Saccharomyces cerevisiae S288C: one gene and its partners. The protein of the gene in region 3 interacts with the protein of the main gene of each other region in a biochemical or structural test. Each region holds a gene or a part of one and is shown on either strand. Other genes may lie near its edges. The genes, in order: MRX16, YBL055C and RTK1.

What was found.
Region 1: the proteins of RTK1 (region 3) and MRX16 form a complex in vitro, tested with the Saccharomyces cerevisiae proteins (one large-scale study listed by BioGRID).
Region 2: the proteins of RTK1 (region 3) and YBL055C form a complex in vitro, tested with the Saccharomyces cerevisiae proteins (one large-scale study listed by BioGRID).

Annotation. Positions count from the first base shown.
Region 1 is NC_001136.10:718,205-722,298, reverse strand, and holds MRX16 (Mrx16p), read left to right. Parts: upstream 1-1,995; coding exon 1,996-3,483; downstream 3,484-4,094. Other genes in the region: YDR131C (uncharacterized protein), read left to right, coding at 3,839-4,094.
Region 2 is NC_001134.8:115,041-118,544, forward strand, and holds YBL055C (3'-5'-exodeoxyribonuclease), read right to left. Parts: upstream 1,790-3,504; coding exon 533-1,789; downstream 1-532. Other genes in the region: type 2C protein phosphatase PTC3, read left to right, coding at 1-128; TOD6 (Tod6p), read left to right, coding at 2,549-3,504. UniProt on the Saccharomyces cerevisiae protein: Has both endo- and exonuclease activities. Incises double-stranded DNA without obvious specificity via its endonuclease activity and excises the DNA from the 3'-to 5'-end by its exonuclease activity. May have a role in apoptosis.
Region 3 is NC_001136.10:404,745-409,175, reverse strand, and holds RTK1 (putative serine/threonine protein kinase RTK1), read left to right. Parts: upstream 1-1,969; coding exon 1,970-3,832; downstream 3,833-4,431. Other genes in the region: putative acid phosphatase DIA3, read left to right, coding at 1-725; MRX9 (Mrx9p), read left to right, coding at 4,219-4,431. UniProt on the Saccharomyces cerevisiae protein: Probable serine/threonine-protein kinase that may be involved in ribosome biogenesis.

The DNA of each region.
Region 1 (4,094 bases), 310 kb from region 3:
TCCTATTCAGTTGTCCTTGAAGGAGACTTACTTTTTGTTTGTTTTTTTATTTTTATTTTTATTATATTTTTTTTTTTCATTTGTTGGGGTCAACTCACACTGGTTCTCCGCCATATTGCCTTTCTGTCAAGCATTGAAACGTGCAACATGAATATTTTTGGCAGCCATTTCAAAACAATAGCATGGTGCGAACTGCTCCAACATGAATAACCGTGCTTCGACGCGGTGTTTTCTCTTGCCGGACTGCCCATGCGTTTCAGTGCGGAGAAAGTCATCCGTTTTGAAGTGCTGCTACAACACGATCGCTCAAAAAGGAAGGAGTTTTCCTATTTCGAATTGATGGCTGGGTTTGAGCTGCAGGACACGCTGCAGTGGGGAAGCCCTTTTAAATCCGCGAGTCCGGTCCGTGCTCACTTTTAGACGCGTGTTCCATCGGCGTTCGGATGGTTTCCAGTGAGAAAAGGGGCTACGCGTATGGTCGGTAGTCCCTTTCAGGGACCAGTGCAGAGGGTGAATCAACGGCCCCTTCACAGAAACCGCGCAGGAATTTTTCTGGTGTTTGTTATTTTTTTTTCCTTGTACTTATCTCACTTTTCTTTTTCTAACTATTTTTTTTGCAATTTTTTTGTGTACACTTTCCACAACATATAGGATGGTTTAGTCATCTCTCGAAGTATATAAACCGTTGCTGGATCGTGGTTGTTCTTCATCGACTTCTCTCTGCTAGACTCTCTTTTTTAAAATTTTTTCATAGAATAAAAAACCAAGGATAACAAACATCTTCTTTCGTTCGCTTCAAAATAACTACAAATTAAAAATGCAATTCTCTACCGTCGCTTCTATCGCTGCTATTGCCGCTGTTGCCTCCGCCGCTTCTAACATTACCACTGCTACTGTCACAGAAGAATCTACCACTTTGGTCACTATCACTTCTTGTGAGGACCACGTTTGTTCTGAAACAGTTTCCCCAGCTTTGGTTTCCACTGCTACCGTCACCGTAAATGACGTTATCACTTAATACACCACCTGGTGTCCATTGCCAACCACTGAAGCACCAAAGAATACCACTTCTCCAGCTCCAACTGAAAAGCCAACCGAAAAGCCAACTGAAAAGCCAACCCAACAAGGTTCTAGCACTCAAACTGTTACCTCCTACACTGGTGCCGCTGTTAAGGCTTTGCCAGCTGCCGGTGCTTTGTTGGCTGGTGCTGCCGCTTTATTGTTGTAATTTACTCAACCTTTTCTTTAATATATTTTTAGAAAAATGGTTAAGTACTTTTCCGTCAATACAGCTTCCACAAAATCGTTTTATTTCAATTAATAAGATATTCTGGTAATTTCTTATTCTAATTCTAGGAGGCAACACTCCATAACTAAATGTTTATTATAATAATATTAATATAAAGTTAATATCTCTTAGGTTACACGCAACTAAACTTTTTTTATATATACTGGTTGCATTGTATTTTTATCATATATCTTAATATAGGTTGTTTAAGGTTCGTTAATTCAAAAATAATGTTTTTTTGTTTGCCCAGTCGGTTTACGCTAATCAAGAACATGGATTCAATATCTTACATAATAAGCGGACGATGAGTCTATCTCGGTTTCCTCTTTTCTGAAATATAATAGTTTTATATTAGTGATTCATTATTACGATCTGGCCGGCTTATCATTGCTTCTTTTACAAACGTATCCTTTTAAGATTTTATCCGGACCACTGAGCTGGCATTTTTCTTAGCTTGCTTTTGTCTTTGTTGCACGGGCGACTGAACTTCTTGGAAAATCATGTAAGCCGCAATTGCTTACTAAGTCAAAATTCTAATGGATTCTCCTCTCGAATAAAATTGAATAGTCTGAGCAGTGAAAAAAATGTATATCTTATGTGTGAATGTTATATACCATAATCTAACGAAAGATAGCGAATTAAAGACCGGTCTGTGGCACTCGTAAATATTACCAACAAAGAAAGTTCCCAATATAATCATATAGAAAATGTCAAATTCTCCAACAGTAGCAACTTTGTCACAAGAATATTTCGATCCGAATATTCCTCAAATACTCCCACACGAGAAAATGTATAAGATTCAGGTGGGGAAATCATTATTCAAAATCAGCGGTGCTTCTTTAAGCTCGGATGGTCCTAGTTTCTTCACCGAATATTTTTCTAAGAAGCGCTCTCCTTCCAATAACGATGACAGTAATAACGATACCATGGAATCTAATAAAAATGAGGTTCTATTCATAGACAGATCAGCCGAAGTTTTTGAATGGATCTATCAACATTTGCAAGGATATATAATTGAGATTAAGGATGAAGTACAATATACCATGCTTTTCGCAGATGCGATGTACTACAATTTACCGCGATTGCGATCTTTACTGAAAGAAACGGACTATTATTTTACCAACATTGGTGGACAATCATTCAAGATAGCGAAAAATTTATTTAGAAGAGAAGGAGATTCCCCAAATTATTTCGAAATATATGCGGCTACAGTTTATATCGATGTGGAAGAGCTGATAATATCTAAAAAACTATTAAGGCCTCCATCTCATTCTGCTCCTTACATTCCAAGATCTTCTGAGTACTTCAAAGATTTGCTGACGTTACTGGGAGGAGCATCCATCGATCTAGATGATAATAAAAGAAATGCCTTGATAAAAGAGTGCCGTTATTACAGGCTTTTAAATCTCGAACAGCGGCTAATCAAATCTCATATTAGCTATAACCCAATAACAAGGAAAGAAGAGATTTGCCTCCTATTGAAGGATTTGTCAAAAAAAGGCATCACTTTTCCAGCTTCTTCTGCATTTTCAACCTCGCCCTACTTTGAAGACGATTTCTGTAGCATAAATGAATGCGACTCGCTATCAAAAACCCGTGAACAGCCAGCAAATAAAAAGATTAAACTTGACATGACTGAAAAATATAACGATTCCTGGAATATGCTTTGTTATAAGAGACCTTTTTTAGATAAGCATCCGAGAGAGTTGATATTTCAAATAAATTCGACTGATTGTACGATAATCCTCAATAAGGAAAGCCAAAGTATCCATGTAGACATAACTGGAGAATCCGCCTATAAGTTTGAGGCCTTATTTGGAAGTCATTTGCCAAATACACCCTCTGGTGCGCCTAAGTTGAAAAATTACCAGTATCGGTTCCCATCCGATAGTACGCAGACGAAAATTGAAACTCATTATTTACTTCCAGCATGCATATATCTCTGTGATTTGGACATAAACGGCATTAAGATTTCTCAAGTTCAAACTTTGCTAACTGATAAAAATAAATTCAATGACAGGGTCATTGACGTGTCTGATCCACTTGACCTTAGATTTTGTTCTGGTTTAAAGCTTTACTTAAGAAAGTCTCTCTGGAAACTGGCCGTGAAAGATGGCAATATTATGCTGATAGCTATTAAAGCTATAGCATTTAACGGAACTAAGGAATACTACAAGGGATATGAATATCTGTAGGATTAGCTTGATAAAATTACTCTTCTGCCAAGCTTTTAAGTATATGTATGCTCTCCGTTGTATTTTTTATATGCCATTATAGTACTTGAAGTATAACGGAAACCCATTGTAACTCACATTCCTGTAGTAGCTTCTTTTCTTACTTTTTGTAGGCTCTTGTCTCTTTTCTCTTGTTATTTATCAGTTAATATGTAAGAAAAAAATCGACTTCGGGAATTAGGATACAGACACCTCTTAAAACCAGAGATAAAGTAACGTAGAGAAAATAGTAGGATAATGTGTGCAAAAAGAAGAAACTTTGGTGTCTTAAAATAGATAAAAATAACCCTACTGCCAATTTGAAAGGGCCCGAAAAATGTTTGATAAGTTACCTTATGAGATTTTTAAACAAATTGCCTGGAGAATTCCGCAGGAAGATAAAATTTCGTTAACATATGTATGCAAAAGATCCTATGAATCAATTATACCTTTCATCTACCAGAATTTATTTCTTAATGAAACCTATCACATCAATGGTGACTATGATAACTCATTTGGAACCTGTTATTGGTCTGTCCTAAACTTTCACTACATAGATGAAGATGATTCCAATACTAAAAACGACATGTCGA
Region 2 (3,504 bases), on a different chromosome or scaffold from region 3:
CTTTAAGCAATGCGGCTGCAGGAGAAACAGAACCTAATGATGCTGATGATAACGATGATAACGACGGCGAAGAAAACGGCAAGAATGAAAATGCGAAGAAGGGTTCCAAGATTGAAGAAATTGAATAATAAATATTGTCGAACCGTACTTTGCAACGAAAGAGTAGTCAAACTTTGTTATCTTTATTTGTTATTCCTCTTCTGCCGATGGATTGTTTTTTACTGGATCATCTTTGCGGCCCATATTGAGGAGATGGTGAAATTCATAAAAATCATTACGAGAGAATGATAAATTGTAACAGAATTTATAAATCCTATTCATATAGATACATCTGTTTTTCCTTACTCTGTTTTTATTTTGTTGGTAACCTTTGAATCCTTTTTGATGAAAAAAATAGAAAAAAAAAAAAAAAAAAAATGAAAGCAATATCGACTGTATGTATATGCGCACCATAATTTTCCTATTAATAGTTTAAGCATAATTAGTGTACTTACTAAAAATAATGTAACTTTGCTCTTTGCACCAATAGATGTTACTCTCCAAATATCTTACAGGTCGTCTTCCACGTGGTATCTATCAAAGTAGCCAGATCCACGTCCTTGACTTCCGATACGACAATTGCTACTTGTTCCATATTACAAGGCTCATTACGGCCCTTGACCATGTAAAGTTCTTCTGCATTCAACTTGTCAGCGAGCTTATTTTTCTTAACGGACTTGAATGCAGGGTATTCGAAATCCCTAACCTCCTGGTATTTGGCTAAGTACTGGAAAGATGCATGCGTTCTTTTAATCTCACACCACGGAGCATCTGTCTCTAATAACAACCTTTCTGTTGGTATTTGCTTTACAACAGCTAGATTTTCCTCGGTTCTCAACGAGCAACCGTTTACTCCTATGAAGATGTTGGGTGATAAGTTCAGTAATTTCTGCAAATCTATCGCAGAACCAGTGAATGAATGGACCACTAGTTTTCTATCTGGATGAAATTTGTAAAACCCGCTAGACGACGATGCACCTAACTTTTGTAGCTGAAAGGTATCCCTCTCATCAGTGAACCCGGCAATAAATCTTTCCAATATTTGAACAAAATCGTCACATGCGCTTCTCATATGCAGAAACAATGGATAGCTGCTGAGTTTATCGTTCAAACAACTTATTTTCAGTTGCTCTTCAAAAAAAACCTTTTGCATCTCTTTAGAACTATAGTGAAATCTGTCGTAGTCCAACCCGATCTCACCAATTGACCTGAAACTTGTATCATGAGGTTTTGCTTGCTGATTCATCAAATCATAAAGCTCTTTCAGTTTACCCTGTGCAAAAGATGGATTACTAATAACTTTAGCATATAGAGACTCATTATATGCTTCATCCATGGAAGGGTTATCAATAGAAGCGCTAGCCTTGTCCCCTTGACTAGCATCCGCAAACTCGTTAACGCAACATGGGTGAACACCTATTGTGTGATACAGCTTTAACGGGCTAAGATCTTTGACGCTGCTTACCAACTCAATGGCACTTTGAGACTCCGCTATGGATGATCCTGTAACAAGGGCATTTTTCACGTGCCTCTGAGCAGCACGCTCTAATAATTTTACATAATCTGCTGGATGGTACTGCTTACCATTGTAAATACCGTGAAACATAGGATCTGTCAGATTCAATCCAATATCATAGTATTTCAGCGGAGAATCCGTGGCAGTTGATGTCATGCTATAATATTGTGTCAAAATTGGTTTCCAGAGCCTAGAACAACTTTTGTTCGAGGATTTCAATAAGATGCCCCACATATAACTATAACAGTACTGGCGCCTCAAAAAAATGCCTTGGCAGCGAAAGTGTCCACCTTTAGTTGTCCATTGCTACCAGGACATCACCACTGGGCCCTTCCAGCATGCTGGAAAGATTGTTCTTAGAAGAGTGCTGTTCTAAGTAACCCGGCGTTAGTAGGGGCTAAGCCTTCTAGAAGGCCGGAAAAGGCTCAGAAATGCCTGCAGTGCAAAGCTTTTCAGGAACGTTACTAGCGCAAGTCTTCTGGCTGCTGTTTAGCAACCTCTTTGCAGGTATTTCGCAGCGGGATTTCGCAGGTGTCTTGCCTAGCGTATCAACACTTAGTAGCAGTTAGGTTCTAAAGTTAAACTCCACTTCCGTTCTTCTTCGAGTTCCTTTTTGAGCGGTTTGGCCTATCTTGTCTCATCATCTTGTTAGTGTGCGACGTTATCTGTGGGTGAGAGAGGCTATTTTTGGTCCGGTGAAAAAAAAATTTTTTCTCTGCTGAGAGCTGAAATTTGAAAATTGAGATGAGATGCGATGCGATGAGATGCGAGACCAATGCGATGAGACACTTTTCTACTTCCTTACACAGAAGTCGTGTATAGTTTTTGTACGTTGATATTAATAAAGGCTTTTCATATCATTTTGTTTTCAGGTAAACAAATCTGGCAAATCTCCACTGCTTGAGTCATTAAAACTACTCACTCAAGAAGGCATATACACGACAGTGGGTAGAGAAAAGAATATATCACTGTTCTTATTGAAGTTCCCTCGCGATGACGTTGCCGAAACTCAGTAGCGTTTCTGTTTCATCAGGACATGTTAGTGCCAACTCACATGGTTTCTCAATACTAAGCAAACACCCTCACCCAAATAATCTTGTCCATTCCCACTCACTTTCTCACACAAATGCGAAGAGCCACCTGCCTATCAGTAGCACTAGCACTAAAGAGAACAGCACGAACAAGGAGGAGGCGGAATCACTCAAAAAAAACAACCCCTCTTCTTGGGACCCTAGTGATGATATCAAGCTCCGCCACCTGAAAGAGATCAAGAACTTGGGCTGGAAGGAGATTGCACATCATTTCCCAAATAGAACTCCTAACGCTTGTCAATTCAGATGGAGGAGACTGAAATCAGGCAACTTAAAGTCTAACAAGACCGCAGTTATTGACATCAATAAGCTATTCGGCGTGTATGCGACTGGTGATGCTACCCCATCCGCGGGTACTCCGTCTGCGGAAGAAGCCGTAAAAGAGGAAGCTGTTGAGGATGAAGATATTACTGCAGGTTCTAGTGCTATCGAGGATTCTCCACCGGATTTCAAGCCATTAGTTAAGCCTAAATACATGGACAGAAAACTGATAACTCAAAGATCTACATCAACATTTTCGGACCATGAGCCACAACACACGAAACCAAGGAAACTGTTTGTTAAGCCAAGGTCCTTCTCTCATTCTATAACAACCAACACGCCTAATGTAAAGACTGCTCAGCAGACAAATCTAAGCCTTTATAACACTACTTCAGCAAAGACAAATAAAGCTGTTAATTCCAATGATTATGAGAATATTGGTCTTGTGCCTAAAATTATTATCAGGTCTAGAAGGAACTCCTTTATTCCTTCAACTCAAATCCCTCATTCAACGACGAAGACTAGGAAAAACTCGCATTCCGTAATTTCTTCTAGAAGATCATCTTTTAACATGATGCATTCAAGAAGATCATCCTT
Region 3 (4,431 bases):
TAATGTCATATTCGAGGGACTACTTAGAAAATATTTCCGATCGTCTTAATGACGAAAATAAAGGGCTGAACTTGAGCAGGAAAGATGCAGCGGCCTTGTTTTCTTGGTGTGCCTTCGAGTTGAACGCAAAAGGTTATAGTAACATTTGTGACATTTTCTCCGCGGCAGAGTTAATACATTATTCTTATGAGACTGATTTGACGAGCTTCTACCAAAATGGTCCCGGATACAAATTGATTAAATCTATAGGTGCTAATTTGTTCAATGCAACAGTGAAGCTAATACGACAAAGTGCGCACTTGGACCAAAAAGTTTGGCTGAGCTTTACGCACGATACTGATATTCTAAATTATTTGACAACTGCTGGATTGATTGATGACACTAGAAATTTAACAACCAATCATGTTCCCTTTCGTGATCATTCCTACCACAGGTCGTGGTACATTCCTCAGGGAGCTAGAGTCTACACAGAAAAGTTTCAATGCTCAAACGATTCGTACGTCCGTTATGTGGTCAACGATGCTGTGGTTCCTATAGAGAGTTGCTCCAGTGGTCCAGGTTTTTCATGTGAAGAGGGCACATTTTACGAGTATGCCAAAGACAGATTACGAGGTGTGAGCTTCTATGAAGATTGCGACGTCTCCAAAGTTAGCAAAGAAAAGGAATTGACGTTTTACTGGGATTGGAACACAACAAGGTATAACGCATCCTTAGTGAATCAATAAGCCATGCATGGGCAGAAATAAAAAAAAATAGGAAATTGTCTTTACATAACATGGTCACAAAGTAATATTCCGCATCGTTCTTCCTTCAGCAAACCGAAGGGGAGCGAATTGAGCCTTCAAGCTACATCTAAAAGAGATTCCACTAACAAGTTCTGCGGTTATTACATATTTTTGTACTACAGAGAATTTAATTGCACCCGCTTTATCACCCTCGTTATTTATATTCTTTTCTGGAATATTTAGATATGCGTCATTTGATTATTGTTGTTTTTTTTTTTTGTTTTTTTACTTTCATTACATCGCTAAATATAATATAAAAGAGATGAACGGCTATTCTTTCTGAATATCGAAAGTTAAAACTCGGATAGAAAATTCACAAGAACATAAAAGAAAACTTCCGGATTTCAAAGGCGGTTCTGGTATTGGGAAACTTCCACAACATATCTCAAATTCAAACTGAAAAGTCCTCAGTGTCTTTTATTCGAAACTCCGGGAAAGCACTGCTTGAATGGATTAAGTAAACTTGAAATAAATTTTTTACTTCTACAGCTAAAATGTGAAATATAGTGTCCGCTTCCACCAAAGGCGTTTATTTTCTCGAAATGAACCTGTGAATAACACAGCTGGCTCCAACTCAAACACTCAACTGCGTCATTTCTTATTCGCTTTCCAAATCATGCATGATTTTTCTTTCTCTTGCCTGCAGTGCTCGTTTCACCGCTCGCGTACTCGTCCATTCTTTGTCAGCGAAGAGGCTCTAACAGTGGAGAGCACATCTGGCAAGTAAAATGATAGGTTGCGCAAGGGGGTAGGGGAATGACTAATAAAGCATTACTACCATCATACCAAGTTCCCATTCATGTACACATAGTCTCTTTAATTGCCTTCTTGAATGGAGGCCAGTAGATATTTGGAGAAGCTTTTCTTGCAGTTCGGGTAATATCGAACGGCGTACATCTATAAGGGGAAAAGCTACTTCCGCTTCTCATATATCTATTTTGCAGTGTGACTCTTCCTGGCTTGCTAAGTATTGTACCTGTTATGGGGCAAGCAAGATTTCTCATTGAAAAAAGATATAATACTTATTTGCAGCCAATAGTGACGGATTCTAGTGTTCTTCTTTTCCATAAGTTGATTACGCTATTCACCCAAACTGACTCTTTAGTGCGCTAATAAGCTGAGAGGATTTGAGAGGGAAAAAAAGAGAGAAGGACAGAAAAGAGCAGCCTGAAATTCATAGCATAATGGTTAAGGAAACTCCATTACACTCATCTTCATCAACTTCGCTGTCTTCATTATTTAGGCCAACTAAGTTGAAGAATTTATCGGCTAAAATATTCAATGGAGGTGGTAACCAATCATACTCAAAGACAGATGATGTTTCAAGGTCTTCTTCTAGATCTTCAAAAAAGAATACAGATTCTGACCAAGAGGATCAAATAAAGTATAACAAACCCAACGACCGAAGATCTACCATAGGAAAGAGCCCCCAGGGAAATGGCGCGTTGTCAAAGGAGTCACACGTAGTAGCAAGTTCTACTTTGACAGGTATTTCTCCTACTTCAGCTAAAAAAGCTCCTATTGACTACTCTCCTTCACGGCCCTTACCTAACAATCATAATCCCGTTCGTACGGGACACACTGTGCCCCACTTACCCCATAGTATTCACAATCCAATAAACTACATTCATCAAGGCTCAAAAGATGCTTTCCACCATCCTCACCCCGTTCGCTCTACAGCTCATAGCAACATTTCTACAGTGTCTTCTGCAAAATCTGATACACCCTCTTCGAATTTATCATACCAGGCACATATGCATCCCGTAGAGATACTACAGAAACAGATTGAAGACAAACACTTCATGGACTCTCAAGCCTCCACCCCTGGGTCCGTGGAACTACAGCATAATTCTTCAAGCGGTAGTGATGATACCTCATCAAGAAAGAAAAAATCCTTGAGATTAACAAGATTTTTCAAAAAAATTCATAATGATTATCACGATAACCATCATCATCACCACCATCACAACCGTGGATCCACCCCTACAAAACCGAAGCTCAATTTGAACACCAATGAAAATATAGTAGAAAGTAACGGAAAAGCGTTATACGAAACAGATAACCCAGTGGAGCTATTAGAAAAATATGGTATTCCTGGTAGAAAATTAGGCGAAGGAGCTTCCGGTTCAGTGTCCGTAGTAGAAAGAACAGACGGCAAGTTATTTGCTTGCAAAATGTTCAGAAAACCACACTTAAACAATGAAGGAACTAATCAGTCTCAATTAGCTAATTATTCTAAGAAGGTTACCACTGAATTTTGTATTGGTTCCACGCTGCACCACGAAAATATCGTTGAAACCCTAGATATGTTGACTGAAGGTGACACCTATTTATTAGTAATGGAGTATGCGCCATATGATTTTTTTAATCTCGTCATGAGTAACCTAATGACACAAGATGAAGTCAACTGTTACTTCAAGCAGCTGTGCCACGGCGTTAATTACCTGCACTCTATGGGCTTAGCTCATAGGGATTTAAAATTGGACAATTGTGTCGTCACTAAAGATGGCATCTTGAAACTGATTGACTTTGGGAGCGCTGTAGTGTTCCAATACCCTTACGAAGATACCATTGTAAAATCACATGGAATCGTGGGTTCTGACCCTTATTTGGCTCCTGAGTTATTGAAACAAACATCCTACGATCCAAGAGTAGCAGATGTGTGGTCTATCGCTATTATATTTTACTGTATGGTCCTTAAAAGATTTCCTTGGAAGGCTCCAAAAAAGAGCTTCAACTCATTTAGGTTATTTACTGAGGAACCTGAGGACGAAGATGATATAGTTCGGGGGCCAAATAAAATATTAAGGCTACTGCCAAGACATTCACGGACAATAATAGGCAGAATGTTGGCTTTAGAACCAAAGCAAAGAGTTTTAATGAATGACGTGGTAAAGGATGATTGGCTTGTATCCGTCCCCTCCTGTGAAGTTGACCCTACATCTGGCGATTTGGTTGAAAAACCAAAGAATCATAAGCATCACTTGGTCACTGAGGAGGAGTTGAATGAGCTGACCAAGCAACACGGGAATAAAGATTCAAATTAATGAAATAAACACTTTTTAAAAGATAAAACCTAAAAAATTGTATATAGAAGATTCAAAGTACTATAAAAGGCATTATATAGGAATAAAAGATGGTGTGCATACAGGTGAAAAAGAAAACTAGTTAAATCTGGAAAAAAAAAACGCTCATATATATACAAAAACATAAATACATTCGTCAAAACAAAAAGCGCTTAAATAAATAAAAGCATTTTTTAGATAATCTCAACGGGCGCCAAATTGAAGTCACCCGACGCATAAAATTGTGAACACGCCCTATTAGATTTTACAAAGAGGAAGTCTCCTCCCCTATAAACTGCAAAGAATAATTGAAAAGTGATTTAGCGCAGATAAATAAGACCACCATAACCACATATGAGTAGGAAAAAATGTTCAAAGTTCCAGTGGGATTAGCCAGTAGGACAAGGGAGCTTATGAACAGCGTTACGCTCAATAGTCTCAATAATGGAAAGGGTTTCAATATGTACTTGCCAGGAATATTAAGGGCTTTTCCTAAACCAGTGCCTTCGGCGATTACATCTCCCGCAATTCCAAAATATCGAGGAGAAAGTTTCCAGTTTCGTAAGCTTTCATGCATTTCT